Linked DNA regions of Alligator mississippiensis. The protein of the gene in region 1 interacts with the protein of each later gene in a pairwise test. Links are inferred from orthologs where the notes say so. Each region holds a gene or a part of one and is shown in the gene's direction. Other genes may lie near its edges.

Region 1 (8,340 bases):
ACTTATAGGTGGCCATCAGATTGCCCCAAGCCTGCGCTTTTCCAGGCTAAAGAACCCCATGGCTCTCAGCCTGTCGTCATAAGGTCTGTTTTCCTGACCTCTGATCATGTGCGTGGCTCTTCTCTGGACTCTCTCCAGCTTCTCCACATCCTTTTTGAATTGTGGAGCCTAAAACTGGATGCAGTACTCCAGCTGCGGCCTCAACAAGGCTGAGTACAAGGGGAGAATGACGTCCTGGGATTTGCTTGAGAAGCATCTATGGATGCAAGCCAGCATTTTGCTTGCTTTACTAGCTGCAGCATCATACTGAAGGCTTATATTCATCTTGTGGTCAATCACGACCCCCAAGTCCCTTTCATCCATAGTGCTAGCCAGCGTACCACTGCCGAGCTTATAAGCATGCTACAGGTTTTTCTTCCCAAGGTGGAGAACCTTGCATTTTTCAGTGTTAAATACCATCAGGTTCTCATGCGCCCATTTCCTGAGCCTGTCAAGGTCAGCCTGGATTGCCCTCCTGTCCTCAGGTGTGGATGCTTTACCCCAGAGTTTGGTGTCATCGGCAAACTTGGCCAGCCCGCATCTGACTCCAATGTCCACATCATTAACAAAGATGTTCAACAATACAGGTCCAAGGACAGAGCCCTGGGGGACCCCACTGGTCACAGGGCACCATGACGATTGACTTCCATCAACCACCACCCTCTGAGTCCAACCACGGAGCCAAATCCCCAGCCAGTGGATCGTGGTGGACCCGAGGCCACAGTTGGCCAGTCCTGCCAAGACATGATCATGGGATACCAGATCAAAGACTTTTTTTAAGTCAAGATATATGACATTAATCTCCTCTCCCTTGTCCAGGTGATAGGTAGGTCACCTGGTCGTAAAAGGAAATAAGATTGGTCAAGCAAGACCTACCCACAGTAGACCCATGCTGGCTATCCCTCAAGATGTTGCTGTCAGCCAGTCCGTTAAGAATGGCCTCTTTAATAATCTTTTCTAAGACCTTGCCCAAGATAGAGGTCAGGCTTAAAAAAGGACTTCTTGTTATCCTTGATCCAGGTCTCTAGTCCCAGTTCCGTCTCCACCTTATCCTTCCTAACAGCCTCCCTACAGGATTGAGCAGTGGAGGTATAGTCCTCCTTGGTGATGGCCCCTCCCTTCCATTGGGTGTATGCCTCCTGGTGAAAGCTTTGAACTCCAGGTCTAATAGGCTTGGTTTTATGTGGCTTTGAACAACACTCTGGTTGGAAGCTCAAGTTCCACCTATGTCCTGTCCCACGTAGCAGCCAATAGTCCAACGTCCTGTCTCCAGCACTGTCTGCTCCAGGTGCCTCACAGTCAGGTATAAGCTGCTGGTGAGGAGTTAAAAATATTAACTCTTTTAAATTTTTACAAATTCCAATACCTTCTGCTCACTAAAAGGTCAATACACTATCCATTACAGCACAGAGTAGCCTGGCCCCTTGGGCAATCAGCCAACTGTACTTAAAGTGCTTTGCACTGGCGCTCAGTCCCATAACTGTTTGAGTGAGAGATACAGAGGATCAAGCCACCAAAGTGCCTAAGAATCTTTTTTTTTGTAAAAATATGTGTGTATGTGTATAGATATATACTCTCTCTCTCTCTCTCTCTCTCTCTCTCTCTCTCTCTCACACACACACACACACACACACACACACACAGAAGTTATATATATATATAGAAGTTATATATATATACACCTTCTAGCAACCTTTTCTTCATATACCTTAACTCACAAAACAAAAGCCATAAACCCATTACAATACATGCAGCCATGGATCTGCACTCCCATACACCCACCAGCAGGCCACACAAACCTGATTATACGGTCCCTTAGTCCACACTCTGGTTACAGGGTTTAAAATCTCAGTTCATTCTCTGTCACTGTCACTCTTGCTAGAGAATCTGCTGCTGCTGTCCTCATTGCTGTCTCCTGGTCTGGTTTCCGCATCACCCTCTTCTACTTTTGAGTGGAAAGGATGGAGAACAAACAGTTTGTTCCAGCAGTGGGCTTCAGACCTACATGGGCATCTAGCCATTCACATGAAGGCAACACCTTCAACATGCAACCAGTTTTATGTGTTTCATGCTTTCTCCATGTCAAGGTTTGTCCCTCTTCAACCTGTAGTGAGTGTCACACTCCTGGAGTACCTTGTGGGGAGCCATCAGACTAGGCTGGTCCTGTTCTCCTCCTGGCCAGAGCCTCCCACAGCTCTTCTCAGTGATGCTTCTTCCTCCTTCTCCTCCTCTCAGCTTTGCTCACTGCCTTCACCTCTGTCTGCAAGGGGTCAATCAAGTGTCACTTGCTCTATCTACCCAACACTTCCCCAGAGGTCTGCCTGCTTACAACCCTCCACTGCCTTGAGGGCCTAGGGCTGGACTCACACCCTACCAGTGGCCATGCCCTGAAGGTGAGGAGCCAGGACCAACTCTTTGTGTCAGTGCCTGTACTAGAAATCCCAGCAAACATCAGCCCATGGTTTTTCATTGGGGGTGGGGGGCACTGAGGTAGATGGTGTGTGCCCTTTGATTCCTCTGCTGAGGGCTGCAAAAGGGGCGGGTGTCACACAGATACTGCCTGTCCCAGCCACTAGGAAAGCTCCCAGGCTCAGACTGTTTGACACAGTAGCATAACTAGGGTTGGACAAGCAGGCATCAGGCAAAGTTATGACGTACAAGAGCTCTTGTGTCTTTAAACCAGTTAGTCCAGGGGTACTCACCCCACCCTGCAGGGCCAGATCTGGCTGCCAAAGTCATGTCATCCAGCCTGCGGGGCTCCCTATGAGTCCAAAGAGTTGGCAGTGGGGGAGCAGTTGCCTCTCTCTTGCTGCCAAATGTCTGGGCCCATGGGGAGCCCTGTATAAGGATAGCATGGTCCTGAGCACTAGATTGGGGCCTGGGGGTGGCCTGGGGCTGGATGGGGATGGTGCAGTGTTCCTAGGCCCAATCCTGTATTAATATACACATGTAGATGCACTCACTATGGACTTAGAAAAAGCCTGAGCTATGAATAATAGGTGCTTAATGCTGGTATATTTAAATGCTGCTGCTTAATAAACTTGCATTTAAATCACAAGCAGTGGCCTGGAAAGTAGAGTAAAAGTCTATTTATCAAGCCACTAATATTAAAGCCAAGAACATGTAACAGCTTTTTGGAAAAAGCATGAAACAGCCACTAAAAGTAACAACCAATGTTTTGCCATTTTATAACAACTGATTTGTACATAGTCAGCTAGAATCCTTCTGATATAATAATGTGACTTTGTTCACCTGTTGTCAGCCTTGGCCACCTTCAAGAGACTTTATGCTAAGTTACTGAAATGTGGCTGGAGCAGGCCACAATGCCTGTTTCAGAGTAGACCTTTGCGAGACATTACAACTGCGCCTCGTCAGCCAAAGTAAAAGAAACAGGAAACATGGGCAAACAGATTTCCCAGGTGGTGAGAGAGAGTGAGAGAGAGGAAGTCCTCTTTCGCAAAAAAATTATAATCGCTAAAACTTGTAATTGTTCCTTAATACGTGTGTAGCTTGCAAAAGAGTCCTGACCACAGACAAGGCTGTAGACTTGTCCCTCTAAAGACTAAATGGTATTGGACTTTGGTGACAGACTCATCTCTTGCTTGGGGTGGGAAGGGTCCCAGCAAATCCAGGAGGGGGAGGGATGGATGGAACTCAAAGTTTGGGGCAAAAAACAGCACATCCCTGCTCCAGTGGCTCCCCCCTGGAACGGGGGAAAAGTAATACAGCCCTGGGGTGAGCTGCTCTGCCAGGAAGCCAGACCAACAAGAGTGAGAGCTCCTCTACCAGGGCAGCTGAGTGTTGGAAGCATGGGCGACTGGTGCCTCCTGAGTCTGGGGGGGCACCAGTGGGGCACGACAGGGGGCGGGGGTGGTGGGGGGGAAGCAGCCAGTTGCTAAGCGCAAAAGTGCCATCACTTCTACATGTGGCATGGCGACAGTGACTTCCGCCACTGACGTCCCACCGTTGGACCCAATTTCAGGGTGGGCACTGGCACTTTCAGTGTCCCCCTACCAGCCAGAGCGCTCTCTGTCAGGGGGGGGCACCAGTGCTTTCTGGGGGGGGCATGTGCCACCCCTGGTGCATCGCCTATGGTTGGAAGCATTGGACTTAAGCTCCTTGGATGCACATCTGCATGGATACAAGCTGCACCTCTAGTAAGCTCTGCTAAAATCTCTGAATCTCCTGCCTTGAGCAACATACTTTCTCTACTCAAGACCAGTGTCTGAGAGAGTCAGGAGGGGCCTGAAGATTGCCCCCCCCCCCCCCCCCCCCCCCCCACCCCCCCCCCCCAATCACACAGGTCACTGCCAGCCCTGGGGAAACACTCACTCATATCCCAAGGGTCAAGAGTTAAAAATTAAACACAGTCTCACTTTGTGCTTCTGATCTTCAGGCACTTCTCACAGCTGGGGCCTGGTAGGGTGGGTGTTATGATTAGAGCCAGAGAACTTAATCAGTAGCCTCTGTCAGCCAGCCATCCAGCCAACCTAGCACTTTATCTGCATGCCTGAGGGGTAGGCAGGGCTGGGTCCTTCTCTGCCTGCCTCAGCCATACCTCCTTTTTCCCCCTAACAAGGTGAAGGGGGTGCCCTGAAAACACCAGCTTGCTGAGGGGAAGAAGCAGCTTTGCAGCGCACAACCGATCCAGGGATGTCCTGCCCCCAAGTACTACTAAGGCTGGGTAGGAAGAGTCTGGCCCTCTGTCACAGGGGCAGGAGATCTCCCCAGGAGGAGGAGGAACAGTGATGGGAAGCATCAAGACCATGTCCCAGTTCCCTGCTCAGCTCATACAGATGGGCCCACTAGGGGCAAGCTCGTCTTGTGCCCTGAGCCATCTCATCACGCCAGGTCTCTCCTTCCTTCTCAGGATTCCAGCATGACTGGAGCAGGCTGAGCTATGGGGCCGATAGAGTTGGGCTGTTCTGCTGAACTTTCCCCCAGGACTCAGGGGCCAGGGGCAGCAGGGAGGGAAGGAGAGTTGTGTGCAACCACGTGACAGTGCAGTCACCAGACCTGTCTGTACAAGGTTCGTTCTCAACTCCTCCCTCTCAACTTCCCATGCACCGTCAGTACACTCCACTTCATACGCCCTTGGCCTCTGCTCCTGCCTGGACCTCTGCAAGCCTCTTCCTATTCCCTTAGCAGGAAGGTAAGAGGGGTTCCCCAGCAAAGGCCTGAAATGATGCTGACCTTCCTCCCAGATGCCCCTAGGAGGATGAGGAAGGTTGCAACCCCTCACTCCTCCATCCCCTGGGACGTGGCCTGCTCTCCTGCACCATCCAACTTCTCACTGCTCCTGCTAAACAGGTGGGGAGGGAGGCTGGGATCACTATGCTGCTTTATCCGCATGGGGGAGAAGATCTCTGCGTCTATTTGCTCAAGAGTGCACTAGGTAGGGTGGAGAGAGGATGGCTGGAGGGGAACAACCCAGTCTCAGATGGCCCAGGTAATAGGAAGCTAAACTGTACCAGCTTCATCCTCAGCGAAAGAGGGTGAGTTATCAGGCATCTGCTCCCATTGAATCCAGTGTAAGAGTGTACAAATAGGCAGTAGCCACAGGGCAGCTGATATGTGTGGTGAATCCTCACCCCGTTTCAATGAGTCCCGAAGCCGCACCAACCGTTGGGGCATCTTTGATGTAGCAATAACTTTCCTCCATTCTTCCCTGTCTTTTGCAATCCCTGTATAGCCCATTTAACCCATGGTAAATTGTTAGTGTCCCTACGTGCCTAGGGTATGTTGCAGGACTGATACACCTCCTGAGTCTGAAAAGTGTTCAGAGGACAAAGCAGCCTCCCAAGCCTTTCACCAACAACACCTTCCCTACAGAGATGAGCAAGGGGATGTGCTACCCCTCCAGCCCGTGATCTCAGGGGCAAGTGAAGGAAGAGTGAGATCAGGAAAGCAAGCTCGTCCTACCCTCCTGCCCCTCTGTGAAGGTGCTGGGCTGTGAATCCTATGTTGAGGAAGTCCCTGGCCATCTGACTTGTCTATCTATAGTATCTTCTTTTGGGGTGTGGTGGCAGAGGCATGCTAGGGTCTTACTATGGGTCCTAAGGCAGGCATTCAAGGCCTACTCTGTACTCATGCCAGAGGCTGCCCCCAGTCAACCCAGCTGTGCATGGGCACCTGCTCATTCAGGGTGGGTGGGCAAAGGCAGGCGAGTCTGCTACTGGCCAAAGCCCTCCCTTGTGTCCCTCTAGATACAGGATTGGAGGTATCTCCACTGCACCAGCCCCGTGAGCTGCAGGGTGTGTGGGGCCCTCTGACATCAGAGCAGTCTCCCAGCCATTTCAGAAATGAATGGGCAAAGGAGTGAATGTGGCAGGGTGAACTGGATGGTGAACTCACTGGGCACTTCTACATAAGACAGTTACTGTAGAGTAGACTAATTAGCTCCACAGTGAATGTCTCAGCATCTACATGTGCTGGGGTTTTAGGCTGGAGTAAAATATTAAACTCCACAGCACAGTAGTACTTACATTTACTAGTACTACCCTGCTGTGGAGTTTAATATTTTACTCCAGCCTAATAATGTGCACCAATGCACATTTTCTACTCTGCAGCAACACAGATGTAGACCCTGACTCAGCTGGCTGGGGCACAAGGGTGCTTCAATGCAGGGAATGCCTGCTGGCTAGTCCCACACTGAAGCACCTTGTGCCCCAGCCAGCCCCTCTGCAGCATGTTGAGCTGAGTCAGAGCAGCCTCAGGCTGGCAGGCTAACCTCCCAGGCCCCCTACCAGTCAGAGCTGCTCCAACTGGGCTCAGTGTGCTGCAGTCCCAAGTGGCACCCAGAAGCAATAAACTCCAGAGCTATAAGCACCAGAGTTTATTGTGTTGCACTAATATGCACATGTGGACCCACCCACTGATGTCCACCTGCCCCTGCTTCTCTTCCCCGCAGCCGCATGCATGGCTGCCCTGCAGCGCCTTCAGCCCGTGAGCCATGTGGCTGTGAGCGGAGGCACCCACGGCAATGAGATGTCAGGCATTTACCTGGTCAAGCACTGGCTACGGGAGCCCTCAGCGCTGCAGCGGGACAGCTTCTCAGCCACACCCTTCCTGGCCAACCCACTTGCCATCGAGCGGTGCGTGCGCTACGTGGGGAGGGACCTGAACCGCACCTTCACCAAGCAGTTCCTCAAGTAAGTGAGCCCAGGGCAAAGCTCTGCATGGGGATGGGGGAGCTATCCCAGCATGCATCACTGCAGTGTTACCTGGGGCCTGGGGATGGAGGGAGATATCCCAGCATGCTACCAGGAATATGAGAATGAGCAAGCTATCCCAGCATGCACCACCCTGCAGTGCTGCTGGGGGAGCATGAGAATAAGTGAGCTATCCCAGCATGCACTGCTCTGCAGGACTACCTGGGACATAATATAAACTATTCCAGAATGTATCAAACTGAGGCAGTCCTAAGGGGTTTGGGAAGCTCTCCACAAACCTGTAGTGCTCCCCAAAATGGATGGAAACCCCCAAATCCCCTCCATGAAATGGGGCCTCTGAGCCCCTGATGGGTGCACTGTCATGCTACTCTCCCAGGGGACCCTGCCCCCAGGAGATTCCTCACTGACATCCCACCAGGCAAGGGGGTCCCCAGGCCCATGTGTGGCTTTGACCCTCCCTGTCCCCATGTCCCAGCTCCAAGGCGGCATGGGATGAACCCTATGAAGTGCAGCGCGCCCGCGAGATCAACCAGCTCTACGGCCCCAAGGGCTCAGCCCAGGCCTTTGACTTCCTGTTCGAGCTGCACAACACCACAGCCAATGTGGGGGCCTGCCTGATTGCCAGCGTCCAGGACAACCTGCTGCCCATGCACTTGTGCCACTTCATCCAGGTGGGCCCAGCCTTCCCAGGGCCCCCGTACCCGCTCCTGCCAGGGCAGGCCAAGACTCCCTCTCCTAACAGCTGCTGTCTCTGATTTCTCTCTCTCCTGTCCCCAGACCCACTGCACGCTGGGGCATTACCCCATCCTCCTGTACAATCTGCCAGACCAGGAGGCCTACTCCATCAGTTCAGTGGCCAAGCATGGGCTAGGTAGGGCGCAGCTCCACCTGGGGATGGGCAGGACCTGTCTAGCCCTGTAAGGTGGGCATTTGGGGGGGCTGGGCAGCAGGGCCTGGGAGCCAGACCCCTCCCAAATACACACCATCTCCTCAGCCTCCTATGCCCAGCATCTCCCAAGAAACTCCCCAAGCACCCGACCACTGAAACCTTAGGCCACCAATTATCCAACTCCCAACCCCTGCCCAGCCCACCATGTGCCAGAACCCAAGCCCTACCCCCTCTCCTTTC
Region 2 (7,552 bases), on another chromosome or scaffold:
GGGGCAGGAAGTCAGCTGGGGTCATAGGATCCCAGCAAGATAAACATCCAAACTTCTCTTGAAGGCATTCAAAGTAGGTGCTTGAACCACCTCTGGGGGCAGTCTGTTCCAAACCTTGGGGGCTTGGACAGAAGGAAGAACTTGTTTACTGTCCAGCCTGAAACGGTCTTGGAGGAGTTTGTAACCATTTGACCTCGTCATCCCTTGGGGCGCTCTGGTAAACAGACATTCCCCCAGGTCTGTTATCAGGTCTGTTATCAGTAAGTTTATCAGGGGTGCCTGGTGAGCACCCCTGATAAACTTACAGGCGGCCACCAGGTTCCCCGAGTCTGCACTTTTCCAGGCTAAAGAGCCCCATGGCTCTCAGCCTCTCATCATGTCTGTTTTCTGACCTCTGATCATGCACATGGCTCTCCTCTGCACTCTCTCAAGCTTCTCCACATCCTTTTTGAATTGTGGAGCCCAGAACTGGACGTAGTACTCCAGCTGCGGCCTCACCAAGGCAGAGTACAACAGGAGACTTGCATCCTGGGATTTGCTTGAAAAGCATCTATGGATGCAAGCCAGCGTTTTGCTCACTTTTAGCCGCAGCATCATATTGAAGGCTCAAGTTCATCTTGTGGTCAATCATGACCACCAAGTCCCTTGGCCAGCGTAGCACTGCCAAGCCTATAAGCATACTGCAGGTTTTTCCTCCCAAGGTGGAGAACCTTGCATTTTTCAGTGTTAAACACCATCAGGTTCTTGTCTGCCCATTTCCTGAGCCTGTCAAGGTCTGCCTGGATCACCCTCCTGTCCTCAGGCATGGATGCTTTACCCCAGAGTCTGGTGTCAGCGGCAAACTTGGCCAGTCCGCTTCTGACACCAATGTCTACGTCATTAATGAAGATGTTAAACAATATAGGCCCTCGGACAGAGCCTTGAAGGGACCCCACTGGTCACAGGGAACCACAGCGATCGACTTCCATCAACCACCACCCTCTGGGACCTGCTGTGGAGCCAATTCCCCAGCCAGCAGATCATGGTGGGGCCAAGTTAGCCAGTTTTGCCAAGAGGTGATCATGGGATACCAGATCGAAGCCTTTTATAAAGTCAAAATATATGACATCAATCTCATTTCCCTTGTCCAGGTGATAGGTCACCTGGTCGTAGAAGGAAATGAGACTGGTCAAGCAAGACCTACCCGCAACAAACCCGTGCTGGCTATCCCTCAGGATGTTGTCGTCAGCCAGTCGGTTAAGAATGGCCTCTTCGATAATCTTTTCTAGGATCTTCCCCGGGATAGGGGTGTAAACTGTCAGGGCTGGCTGACTTGAAGGTATCCAGCCTCTCAAGGTGTTCCTTGGCGAGGTCAGCTTTGATGGAGGGTAAGGGATCTCCCTCACCCCGGGCCTCTCTGTCCCGCAGTGGGCAGGGGCGTCCCATGGGACTGGTGAAAAACTAATGCAAAGTACCCATTTAGTAAGTTTGCTTTTTCCTGGGCGTCTGTTGTCAATTGTCCCATCTGGTTTAGCAGGGGAGCATTCATTGGAGCATTCTCATCTTTGTTATGTTCAGTCTCCTTTCTTGAGTTTTTTTTTAGGAGTCATGTCTCCACTCCTTACAATACTTGTACACATCTTACAGGCTTTCCCCTTCCACTTCACTCATGGATTATTATGATTCTTCTTCTCCCCTCGCTTGTCCCGTCTAAACAAGGTTGCTGTTGTGGAGCCTGGCTTTCCACTGGCTTCGGTCATATGCATCATTTCCAACTTCTTTTCTCGTGTCCTCTCCACTCTCTCTCTCCATATCATCTTCAGTCTTCCTCTTCTCCCTTGTAGTCCCATTCTGGTAACTTCTTTTCCCCCTCTTATTCTTCCGAATTCCCTTTGAAAATGTCCATACCATGCCAGTCTTCTTTCTTGTACTTCCTTAGATGCCTCCACTACCTTCACTGATCTTCTGGTGCAGGTATTCCTTACTTTATCCATCTTTGTCACTCCACACATCCATCGGAGCACTAATCTTTGTAACGTTCAGTCTCCTTTCTTGAGTTTTCTTTGGGAGTCATGTGTCTGCTCCTTACAATACTGCTGGATGTACACATCTTGTAGGCTTTCCCCTTCAGCTTCACAGATATTCTCCTGTCACATAATGTTCCTGTCATCCATTTCCAATTCATCCATCCTGCTGTTATTCGATGGTTGAACTCTTTCTCTAACTCCCCCTTTTTCTGAACAACTGACTCCAGATACTTGAACATGTCAACTTTTCAAACATGTTTCTCATGGATTATCACATTTCCAACCTCAGGTACCTCAGAGAAATAACAGTGCATTCAACTCCACCTATGATTTAAGATAATTATTTCTTGGAATTTTAATTTGCTGTGTACAAGCACTTGATAGACTAATCTATCTTGGCTTTCCTGCTGTCCTATCGCTTTAAGATAACTGATTTTGAGTTAGCAAATACACACCTCTCTAGAGCAGAGCCCTGAGCCTTCTGGATATTGTAGTGCTTTCTCCCCTCTAGGTCCCTGGTTGGTGTGTAATGTATAGAGTCCGCCTTATATTGAGGGCTAGGCTCGTTTCATAATGACAAACCATGTGCCTGGTTCTAGCTCAGGGCTGCAGATATTTTGGGGAAGGTTAGGATGACTACTGTGCTATACAGCCAGTAGTCACAGTGGCAGGGAAAACTGGAGTATAAAGGAACAACCCAATTGTATACATTTCTACTCAGTTTGCCCAAATCCTCTTACCCATATGTTGTTCCTACTTCCTGATATCTGGATGTTGTCACACTTTGCCCCACAAAATCTTTCAAAACACTCTGGAACAAATTGCCGTTTTCATTACCTAAAGCAACTTTCTCTCACACAGTTTGCTTGTATTTACACCTGTGGAGTCCTATATGAGTGGACTAAATCCAGCCATCATGTTTTTCTGTGAATGCAAAAATTGCATTACTCAATTAACAGCGCAAGAGAGACTACAAGTTGCCACCTCCTCACAAGTCATATTAATTTGTATTATGCTACACGCTGCAGTTTAATCAGGGGAAGGGCTTGTGCACCAGGCTCCAAGGGTCCAGCAACTGTTGGCACTGAGCTCTGAGAACCAAAAAAGAAACCCTGCCACTAGCTGCGTCCCTGCAACTGAGCACTGAAGTAAAACAGCAGCCTGCGTGAGCCTCCAGCTGAGATCACTTTACTGCCAAACTCCTTTTTTTGTGTTACATAAAGGCTTCGGGTGGGAAGGGGAAAGATTTTACTTCCCTCCACAGGGCTGTTGAATTTCTGCCTCCCCCTCTACACAAACACAGATTGAAGCACGTTTGGCAGGAGGGGTATTTAATACAAGAAGGAGGTGCAACTATTTCAACAAGTTGATGTAACCGGACACCTGCGACAGACCAAAAAGAAGTACAATGCAGGTGGGACAGCTGGAAAACCGGGTGCCCTTGCGGTCACTGGAATTGCCCAAATATCTCTTTGAACTTCTGCTTGTCCACAACTTGCCCAAACCTGAGCGTGAAGTACAGCACCTGTGGGCTGTCGTAGCGCTTGAACTGGAGCAGCAGCTCACCGCGCCTGTCCCCCGTGTCCCCCAGCGCCATGACGGAGGTGGTGGGGCAGTCGATGTCGTGCCTCCAGCCCCAGAAGGTGAGGTGCGCCACCCGCACCACGCCGCCCGTCTCGCTGAGGTAAATGAGGCCGATGAGGCGCCGCAGGTAGTAGCTGAGGCCGTAGAGCACGACGAAGGCCAGGGCGGCCATGCCCCCCGCCGCCTGCAGCTGCAGCAGCGAGGCCTGGCCCTGCGCGTACAGGAGGCCGAGCGGCGGCAGGGCCAGCACGGTCAGGCCGGTCTGCAGCAGCTTCAGGCGGGACAGCGCGCGGCAGTAGCGGATCCCCGGGAACCTGTAGACCAGCGTGAAGCGCTCCGCGGGCGGCGCGGGCGGCGGGCTGCCGGGGGCGGCGCTGCTACACACGCAGCGCAGCCGCCACGAGCCCGCCCGCCCTCCGGCCACGGCCACGGCGCAGCGCAGGGCGACGGCCTGGGGAGGGAGAGACAGACAGACGAGATGAGCCCCTCAGTGCCGCGCCGCCCTACCCACCCGGCCCCGCACTCACCGCCATGCCGCCGCCGGGAGCCGGGAGCGGAAGAGGCGGGGCCGGAAGCGGCCGCCGGCCACGACAGCTCCTTCACCGCAAGCCATGGCGGCGCCGGGCAACCTCTGCCTCTTCGACGTGGACGGCACCCTCACGGCGCCCCGGCAGGTGAGTGCGGGGCGGCTTCTTCCCAGCCCTTCGCGGCGGGGCGGGCCGGGCCCCCGCAGGCGACGCTTCTCCTCCCCGAGCTCTTCCTCTCCCCTCCCGGCCTGGCTGCCCTCGCCCCGAGCGCGAGCGCTCTGGCCTCGCCGGGTGTCCGGCCGGTTTCCCGGGTGCCTGTCGCTGGCGCTGCAGGGCGGGCTGTGCCGGGCGCCGTGCCCGCCTACACGAGCGTCGGGCTGCTTGGGGCTCGGCCGCCGGCGTGCGCGGGGCAGCGCTGCCCTCAGCGGCGAGCGGGCCCGCTCCGGCGGGGGAGCCAGGCCCCGGGGCAGCTCCATAACGTGCTCTGCAGTCGCTCTAAAAAGAAACCGCCGCTGCTCCGTCGCGCTGAGGGACGCCAAAGCAAAACTCCCTCGGGTGTCGCTCCTCCTGCTAAGGCTGGTGGCTCCTTTGGAGAAATAGTGAAGGGGCGGCGGGCAGGCGGGCGACGCCACCTGTGCATTTGGTAACTAGATAAAGCTGGTGCCGTCTGGATGCGCTTCCTTCTTGGCTGGCGTTCAGGTGAGCCGAGGAAGCCAGATCAAGACAGCAAACGGAAATCATCCTGTGCGGGTCCGTGACAGTAAACTGTCCTTTTTGGGCACGCTTCAGTCTTACAGCTCAAGGGTGCTTCTGAATTCCCAGTTACTGCTGGAGTTTCAGAGAGCCGTTATCTCCACAGGTGCTGTTTTCTTCCAGTACTGGAAGTGAGTTACAGTGTGGAAACACAGCAAATAAATAAACCTGGATGAATAATTAGGCCTGGATCTTTTTCTGTAATAAACTACTCCATGGTAAGGGAGCAGGCACAAGAACACCCTTCCAAGCTAGGTGCCCACAGGCACGTTATGGATCCTGGCTGCTAGGTGGTGCCCCATTCTGGTTTGAATGAAGCAAATGGCTGTCTATGGCAGAGGAAATGAGTTAGGGAAGTGGATATGACCACTGTGCCTCATACAAGGCTCAACTTAAGCCAGTGTGAGTTTGTGTGTCCTGGATCCTTTGCTACCGAGTAAAGTCAGTTTTCTCCATAGTAAAAATTGTGTGTTTATCCTCATACAGATCTTGCTATGCCTCTCTCTGCCTCTGTGACTTCCAGATGTGAACTCAGGGCGTATGGGGGCTACCCCTGAAGGTATTTCAGAAGGTCAAGAGGTTTAAATTTTTAGGCCTTCATAAGAGGGAGCATGCTATGTTAAGTAAGCTACATATTGCACCAGCTTTCTTGTTGATTTTTCACTCAAAGCATTTTTTTGGCATTTTTCTCCCTAAAGCCCTACATATTTTGCTTCACAGCAACCTTTCTCCTCCTGCACCACAATAGCTATGTTCAGATATACAATTATGCTAAAGCTGCGTAGGCTACCCACTAATCATAAACTTTTGTTTCTTTTTTTGAAATCTAGAAAGTCACAGCAGAAATGGGAGAATTTCTGCAGAAGTTGCGGCAGAAGGTGAGAGTTGGAGTAGTAGGTGGTTCAGACTTTGAAAAAATTAAAGAGCAGCTGGGAGACGATGGTAAGGAAGAGATGAGATGGTCCAGGTTGATAAATTTGTTGCGTATGAGGAAGTTCTGACACCTTAAATTAAACCTTTTTTCTTCCTCCTTCCTTGTAGTACGCAAATCTCATGAAGTGTTCACTATTCACAGTCAGTGTGTGATGATTGCTTGATTTAAAACTGTATTGCCCGCAGTGGGTTAAATTAAAAGTCTCCCAAGTACTTGTACTTTACACAGGAAGATTCAGTCTTATACCCTTTGGTTGCTACATGCAGTGAAGTTCTGACTTCACACTAGTAATGTAGAACAGTAGCATAACTAGCTTGCCCTGCGTGCCAAGTTAGGGTGCCAGAATCTCCTCGCATCCCTGCAGAGCCCATGGCCTGGCAGCACTGCCACACTGGGAACTCAGAGGCAGTTCCTGACTGCTGTTGCTGTAAGGGCAAGAGAGCCAGGGGAGGAAGAGCATGTGTAGAACAGCAACCCAGCTGGGACTGTTCAGACATTTCCAGTGTTGGTGAGGCTGCTGCTCCCTTGCCTCCCTGCTCTTGGACCTGCGCACCTCCTGCCCTGGCTCTTGGGACCTATGCCCCTTGCCCCCACTTGCTAATCTGTGTGCTCCCCACCCCCAGAACTCCATGCTTACCTTGCCTGTCTCCCTGCCCCTCTCCCCAATTCCTGCAGGGTTTGCCTTGTATGACAACTTGGCTTGTTATGCCGTTGTGTTAGAATACTAATTTTTAGTTTCTCTCTAATGCAGTTTTGCATATTGCCTTTGATATAGGTTGCTAAACTATGTGTTTATCCATGGAAAAGATGATTTTACTAGCCAAGTGGTCACATAAGGTAGCTTGTTCCAAGCCCTTGGTAGGAAACTTTCATTTTTAATGTGAAAGAACTGTATGAATAGCCATAGGCCCAGTGTAAGCAGCAACTGTTTTTTATAACCCTGCATTTACTTGGCTTAGAAGTGGCTTCTATTTAAACCTACATTATAGCAAGTTCTTATATTATCTACAGTAGTTGATTACTTCTTTACTCTCATTCTGAATGGTTGTAATCAAGGATTTTGAATTTGTAATCTGAGATTTTGAAAATGTGGGTGCAAATGATGTAGCACATCACTGCATGTAACGTTTCACATTTTTCTTCATTTAAACTACAAGATTTACTAATATGCTAGAGGCCTAGCACTATGGTATTCAGTTTAAGATCAAACCAAAAGCAAATATAACTTTATTGAAATAACTTTATTGATGAATGTGTCAATTTGCTAGATTATATGTAAAGTTTAAAAAATACAATAGTAGAAATTAATCTTTTGTTCTATAGATCTTATTTTAGCATCACTTATGCTTAATGTTGTAAAAATACCCTGGTGTATGATATGTAAAAGTATTTACAACAAAAACGTGGAAGTTTGAGTGAAGACAAATAAATTACAACAGTTTTTGTTTGTTTCAGTGGTTGAAAAGTTTGACTACGTCTTCCCAGAAAATGGTCTTGTAGCATACAAAGATGGGAAACTGTTGTCCAAGCAGGTATGTTTGAAGTTCCTATAAACTGTCAGACAATGTAGTCTTTAGATACATTTTCAAATAGTATTCTACTCTTAAGATTTTGCATTTTTTTTTATATCTTGTTTTGCAGTTGCAATTTTCATTTATCATCTTTTTGCTAGTCTGAAATTCTTCTTTTACGTGTATAATTGACCATCCATCTCAATCTTTTAAATGTGTAGATTTGATACAAGGCAG

What was found.
Region 2: the proteins of ACY3 (region 1) and PMM2 interact in binary tests that used the Homo sapiens proteins (3 or more experiments, as listed by UniProt). The two-hybrid records come from large-scale screens. The link is inferred for Alligator mississippiensis from reciprocal best matches to the Homo sapiens genes ACY3 and PMM2.

Annotation. Positions count from the first base shown.
Region 1 is NC_081825.1:176,370,746-176,379,085, reverse strand, and holds the start of ACY3 (N-acyl-aromatic-L-amino acid amidohydrolase (carboxylate-forming)), read left to right. Parts: upstream 1-5,083; 5' UTR 5,084-5,191; intron 5,192-6,949; 5' UTR 6,950-6,957; coding exon 6,958-7,190; intron 7,191-7,686; coding exon 7,687-7,882; intron 7,883-7,988; coding exon 7,989-8,082; intron 8,083-8,340. UniProt on the Homo sapiens protein: Plays an important role in deacetylating mercapturic acids in kidney proximal tubules. Also acts on N-acetyl-aromatic amino acids.
Region 2 is NC_081836.1:35,934,390-35,941,941, forward strand, and holds the start of PMM2 (phosphomannomutase 2), read left to right. Parts: upstream 1-4,148; 5' UTR 4,149-4,201; coding exon 4,202-4,264; intron 4,265-5,700; coding exon 5,701-5,812; intron 5,813-7,259; coding exon 7,260-7,336; intron 7,337-7,552. Other genes in the region: TMEM186 (transmembrane protein 186), read right to left, coding at 3,454-4,041, 4,118-4,123. UniProt on the Homo sapiens protein: Involved in the synthesis of the GDP-mannose and dolichol-phosphate-mannose required for a number of critical mannosyl transfer reactions.